Regions from separate parts of the Mus musculus genome. Here region 2 is reported to be linked to region 1. Evidence: microRNA targets listed by miRTarBase, many of them from high-throughput screens and not tested one by one. Region 1 holds a microRNA gene; the other region holds the end of a gene's coding sequence.
The links. Region 1 holds the annotated microRNA mmu-miR-3081-3p (UUGCGCUCCGAUCUCUGAGCUGG, at 960-982, shown strand). A microRNA usually pairs through its seed, bases 2 to 8, with sites in the 3' UTR of a target mRNA and lowers its output. Matches are read on the target gene's strand: a 7mer-m8 pairs with bases 2 to 8, a 7mer-A1 pairs with bases 2 to 7 and ends in A, and an 8mer does both.

Region 1 (3,278 bases):
ATTGTTCTAAAATTGGGGGGGACTTGTGGTCCCTCCCCCCCCCCCCCACTCCAGTTTCCTTTTCAAGACTTTTTTGCTTTGCTCCCTTTTGCTCCTCCCCCTCCTCCCCGCCTCCTCGGCTCCCCTCCCCTCTTCGAGCGGTAATGGGAGGCTCCTAGGCAGGAGAAGCAAAAGAAGGAATTGTTTGCAAGTTCAGTCATCCAAAAAAGCGTCTTCCATATGGAGGGATTGGGTGCGCTGGGCGCGGCGTCCTCTGCCTTGCCCGCCTGCTGCCGCCGCTGCCACCACGGCTCTGGCTTCCTGCAGTGGGGACCCTGAGCTGGGTCTCGCTGGTGTCAGCTCCGGCCGGCCGCATTCTCACACTCTCGCACCTCGTACCCGCCGCGGCCACACAAGCCCTTCCTCCTCCGGCCGCAACTTCTGGGTCCTGGGCTCTTTTGTTGCTCCGGCTGCGGCCACTCTGCCGTGGTGTGTGTCCTCTTGTGTCACCGCGCTGTGCGTGTGTGTGTCGGTGTGCGCGGGGGCCGTGTGGCCCTTCTCCGCTTCACCACGCGGGACCCGGAGTCCCGGCCCCCTCTTCCCAGGCTCCGGCTGCAGGCGAGGTGAGTCATGTCGCTGAAGTTTGTTTTCTTTTCATAAAAAGTTGTGTTTATTTGTTGGTTTGGGGATAGGAGGCGTGTGGGAGGCGGCCGCCCGTCCTGGGATGCCGAGGGCTCCCGGGAGACGTGCTGCAGGGCGCGGGCTCCAAGCGCTGGGCTGGGGCTCCGCCTGGGGCTCCGGCAGCTAGGCTAGGACCGGGGTTGGGGCCCCTAGTGCTTGACTGGGTTTCAAGCTGGAGGCTCACTTTGGGGCTCAGGGTGTTCTGTTGGGGTTCAGACGGAGTTTGGATCTCTGGGTTGGAGCTCGAGCGCTGGGCTGGGGCTCAGACTGGAGCTTGGAGCGGTGAGCTGGACTCGGGCTTGCGCTCCGATCTCTGAGCTGGGCTCTTGCCCGGAATCCCAGCGCTTGACTGGATCCGACTAGAGTCAGGGCCTGACGCCGCACGAAGTTCCCGGAGCCGCCACTGCTTGTGCTCCTCCGCCCAGCCGAGGGCCGCCGGGCTTCCCTCTCTTGCCCGGTCTGGCTCGGTTAGCTCCCGCGGTTCCCGGAAGCTGCTCCGGTGGTAGGAAGATTCAGACATCTTCCCAAACTCACCCCGAAGGGCTGACAGGGTGCCCTGGTTGCACAGCCAAGCGGTGGGAACAAGCCCACACTCGACACCGATTTGCTTCTTTAAGGGGAGAAGTTATCAGCGAGGTTTTAAAAGGAAAATCCTAAGTCAGGGACCAAGGGAGACCAAAAGCTAAACAGCTCTTAAAAAATCTTCTTGGCTGGACCGGTGGATGGGAGGCACTGAATTAATTGGCATCCAGAGGTGTCTGTGAGAGTAAAGCATCAGCAAGAGGTGTGTGTGTGTGTGTGTGTGTGTGTGTGTGTGTGTGTGTGTGTGTGTGTGGTGTCCCACTGGGGTTTTGTTTCTATTAACTATGAGAAGGTTGAGAAGTGATTTTGTGGGTCAAGTGGTAGAGAAGGCTGTGGAAGAAAGGGAAAGGCAAAATGAACTTTCTGCGGGGATTACGAAGGGTCTGTCGGTTTTCCTGGTGGAAAAGAACTCAGGGGTTGAGAGACTGGTCAACCTGGAGGTGGCTCTGTTGACTTTTGGAGATGGGGTGACCCATGCTCAGTCCCTTGAAACAAGAGTTGTCCTCTAGGGATGTGGCAGTTTCGTCTAAGAATACCCAAACCACATACCAGCAATCCCAAACAGGCACTTTCTGGGTGTGGTGAGGTGCCGTGTGCTCCCTTATTCTTTCCCAGCAAGCTCCATGGCAGCAAGTGTGTGAACTGGAGTTACCTCTTACCGGATGACTGGAAAAGCGTGCTTCTGCTTCAGGCCATGTGCCTGAAATGTCCTGGACCAGCACGTTTGTCACCTAGCTCTTTGTTGTCCAGAATTTTGAAAGCACAGATCGCTTAATGAATGTAGCATCATGGATTCTTGAATATTGTAAACACTTCTGATTTATTCTACCACTGGCTTCTAAATCTAAGTAACCTCGCCCCATGATCTTCTTTCCCTCCTTCTTCCCTCTCTCCCTCCTTCCCCTCTTCCATTCCCTCCTTCCCTTCCTCTCTCCTTCCTTTCTTTTTCTTTTTGCATCTTTTGCCTTGGCCATAAGTCTTCTCCAGAATAGCGTGGAAACCATTAAAAAGGTCTTGTTAGATCAACATGAAGGGCTTGGGTGTCCATACATCTGGATGTCCTGTTTTCTGAGCTTTACTTAAAGTGACTCTGAGGCAAGAGGTTGGCCACTTTGAGGTGTGGAACAGGTTTCCCAGGAGCTCTCTGAGGTCTTATAATTGGCCCTTCTTAATGGTCTAATAATTGAGACCCAGGAGGTTCCCATGGCAATCTTGAAGTACTCTGGGGTCAGCGGGACAGAATCGGGGTGGAAACAGCAGTAGAGTTATGACTTCCCAGCTAGATGACTTTTCAGAGTGAATTTATGCAGAGGCAAAAAATAAAATAAGTTATAGTCCCCATGTCTATTGGCTGCCACGGCCAGCTCCTGTGGAGACTCGGGATTTGTTCCTTCAGGATGAGGCTGCCTGTACCTATGCAATCCAAGGACTGAGGTCTCAGACACTGGCCCTTTGTCACTCTTTTATGATATCTCAGAAACACGACATTGCAAGGGACTTTCACTCAGGAGAAGAGGCCAAATCATGGGCAGTTGGAAGTGAAAGTTGACAGAGTCCAGGATGGGCAAGTTCCTTGGCCACAGCTGGAGAGGAAGAATCTAGAGGACCCTGCTTTGCTGCCAAATGATTGTCCAATTCATGATAAAGACTGTAATTTATGTCCCTTTCCATCCTCCAAATGGGCCCAAGGTTTTGTTGTCTTTGAAGTAATTTTTCAGTGGTATGAGATCCCTGCTCTCTTCCAGGCCTCTCTGTGGTTTCCATGGTCTGACGGTGAATAGGAGATTTTATTCATGAAGTAATTCTGTTCACTTCCCCACAGGCTCCTGGGGTTTAAGAAAAGAGGGCAAGAAGTGAGGCTGAGGACCACAGTGGTCCAGGGGCCCTGGGGGGTCTGGGTTCAAACTTCAGTCGTCACTGATACGCTTAGTCACTCCAGGGTTCATCTTTGTGTCTTTCCAACAATAGCTGAAGATCCAATTGCACTTGGTAATTACCGCCTCATACTTTCTGGCCTCTGAATAAGAAAGAGCTAA
Region 2 (3,278 bases), not on the chromosome of region 1:
AAAAGCATTTAGGTAAGAAACAGCACGTTCCTCTGCTAGGTTCTCAGGATCAAATAGGGACATAGTCTTATTGTAGCTGTTTCCACTTGGCTTTTGGTAAACAAAGCAGTGAATCAATTTGAAAAGAAACATTTCAAAAAGAGGAGTATGTGGCCTTGCATTAATGTGTGTGCATGTGCATATATGCATACCATATATATGTACTCGTTGAAGCTAACAGCCCTTCTATGAACCCTAGAGTGGAGTTACATGTTGAAGGTACTGACAGCCTCTTGCTTGTCTCGAAGCAGCTCTGGAGGTTATGCATTTTCGAATGCAACCTGGGCCCTAGGAATTCCATTATCACTGTGATGATTCTGTAATTTGTGGCTCTGTGGTGCCACCTAGCGGCCCTCGGCTGTTTAACATTCTTGACAGTTTTCTTGTGGTTTTTATAGGGCTTCAGAAAGACTTTGATCAGTGGGACCCTCTGGTGGAAGGAGATGATGAGAACCTGATTCCTGGGTCACCCTTTGACGCAGTCACCCAGGTCCCGGCTCAGCAACACTCTCCAGGATCACAGACCCAGAATTAGAAGAACTTGCTTGTTACACAGTTGCCTTTTAAAAGTAGAGTGACATGAGAGAGAGAGAGAGAGAGAGCGCACGCGCGCGCGCGCGCGCGCGCGAGCAATGTATTTACCCAAATAAGCATTTTTTAAATATACACTGTACTGTAGGATAGTGATGAACGCCTAGCCTAAGATTTTTTTCCCCCTGTAAATGTAACGAATATAAAATAGAGAATACAAAAATGATTGTCTGTCTAAATCTTAATTTTACAAAGCTGGTCCTTTAAGTGTCAAATGAAAAGCTACTTTCATGTTACATTTACAATTAAAGCCTCTAGTCAGGAACGATGCCAGACAAAACACATTGGAAATGACTTAAGATTTCCAAACTAAACAATGAAACAGATTATCACAAACTAAACAATGAAACAGATTATCCCATCTTTGGCTTTCTGTAAGTCTGAGCAGCAGAGTTAAGACTGAGCAGCGGGAGAGCTTGTGTGGAATCTGGTGGCATGCCTCTATGACCTTTGGCTGAGGGTAGGAGCATCCATTGATCTGATCACGAAGTCAGTCCTAATGCAGGATGGGTGATGCTGTCCTGTTTCAACTGAGGATGAAAGGGGTTGTGCTGGAGGATTTTTAGAATATCTGGGACAGGGCAATAGAGTCAATATTGGCACATTAGGTTTTTAATTTCCGGTGCGTTCTGTTTACTAAATGGAGGTGTTGTGAGTAGGCAGGCCAGGGATCATTCAGACACGTTAGGTATTTACGCAAAGACTGTGAAGGACACAAAGGAAATGGTCAACATTCTCAGCCAACATTAGATGTTTTATTTGTATGACCTAGCCCGGCCTGGTGGTACACACCTTTACCCCAGCACTCAAGAGGCAAAGAAAGGCTGATCTCTGAGTTCAAGGGCAGCCTGGTCTAGAGTGAGTTCCAAGACAACCAGGGATGCCAGGGATATACAGAGAAACCCTGACTTGAAAAAAACTTGAGAGAGAGAGACCGATAGACAGAGAGAGAGAGAGAGAGAGAGAGAGAGAGACTGTGAGAGATGACATTGTAAGATTAACAGTTAAGTGGAAGTTTAAAGGGGGTCTTATAACATTTTGTGTGTACTATGTGTGCACACATAGGAGATACTTGTGTGTATTCATGTATGCACATGCATGGGGGTGTGCATGCCATCACACATGTGCAGCTCCTACTGATTCATCTCCCCAGCCCTTCAAAGGCACGTGCGCACGCTTGCACACACACACACACACACACACACACACACACACACACACACGTATACATCTGAGAACTGGGTAGAAAATGGGTTTGTTTGCTGAGAATGTACAGGAATGGAGGCTGTCCATCGGTTAAGTACCTATTCTGGTGTAACTGTCCGGTTGCGTCTCCGGAGTCAGCAGAGTGTGGCTGGGCTTGGCCAGTGTGAACAAGGGTTGTCAGCTTTGAGGTTTGATCCTTTTCTAGCTCAGGTAGTAGGTAGCTATGTTCTGATTTGCCACCACTTAGTGGTGGTCACTCACTCACACCGAGCAACTGGACATCTCCTCCCAGTTGCTGTTTACATTAACTTCATTTATTTATTATTTATTTTGGTTTTTCAAGGCAGAGTTTTCCCGTGTAGTCTTGGAACTCACCCTGTAGACCAGGCTGGTCTCAAACTCAGAAATCCATCTGCCTCTGCCACCCAAGTGCTGGGATTAAGTCTTTAAACAGATAAAATTCCTTCACACAAAACTGAAGGTTTTTCTATTCTGGCCATAGTGCAACTTCTTTTCCTCTTGGTAATTTATAACACTTCACTACCCCAGCCAAACTCTCTATTGCATTTATCCCAAAGACAACCAAGGTTTTTCAATTATTACTTTGTAAGAATTCTCTGTCTCTTTGTGTCTGTGTGTATCTGTCTCTGTGTTTGTGTGTCTGTGAATGTAAGTGTGTGTGTATGTGTGTGTGTGTGTGTGTGTGTTGGGGTGTGTGTGTCTGTGTATGTCAGAGTCTGTGTGATGTGTTGGTGTGTCTGTGTATGACTCTCTCTGTGTGTGTGTGTGTGTGTGTGTGTGTGTGTGTGTGTGTGTGTATGTGTGTGTGCCAGCCACTTCTTGTGCATGTGCAGGTGGTGGAGGCCAGAAGAGAACGTAGTAGTTCCTGGAAGTAGAGTTACAGATGGTTATGCGCTGTCCTGTATGGGTTCTGGGAACTGAACTCTGGTCCATTTCTAGAGCAGTAGGCACTCATAACTGCTGAGAGAGCTGCCCAGCATCTTATTTTGTAATGCAACTTCTCCATTTTCCACATATTGAAATGGCACCCACATTTTATGTTTTTAAGACTAGGTTTCATTGTGTAACTCTGGTTCGCCTAGAATCACTGTGTAGACCATGCTGGCTTAGAACTCGGAGGTCTGCCTGCCTCTGCCTCAAGTGTGCTGAGTGTAAAGACACCATGCCCAGCAACACCCAGTTGTCAATGCTTAATTCTCACTGTCCCCACAGGACTACATGGGCTGATATTTTTATTTTTATCCACATACGCTCACCTTATTCACACTGGGCAGATCTTTTTATTTTAAAGAATGGTTAAGTGTTGTGGGTGAGATGATGTTTTATTTCAGAATACATTTTTTTTTACAGTTTATGGTTTATGCAGATGCTCAAAGGATAAAAATGATGAAAAACATCCAATGAGCTACAATTTAGCAAAT

Region 2: miRTarBase lists Pla2g7 as a target of mmu-miR-3081-3p. Seed matches in the 3' UTR shown: 7mer-m8 at 639-645.

The regions. Positions count from the first base shown.
Region 1 is chr16:44,555,762-44,559,039 of GRCm38, reverse strand. Mir3081 (microRNA 3081) reads left to right here and starts at 911; the gene lies at 911-994. It overlaps Boc (biregional cell adhesion molecule-related/down-regulated by oncogenes (Cdon) binding protein), which reads left to right and starts at 170. Exons shown (of 19, transcript NM_172506.2): 1 at 170-602.
Region 2 is chr17:43,611,406-43,614,683 of GRCm38, forward strand. Pla2g7 (phospholipase A2, group VII (platelet-activating factor acetylhydrolase, plasma)) reads left to right here. Exons shown (of 12, transcript NM_013737.5): 11 at 1-12; 12 at 438-796. The coding sequence ends at 574. Among named protein-coding and RNA genes, the nearest start is that of Tdrd6, 17 kb to the right of the region's middle.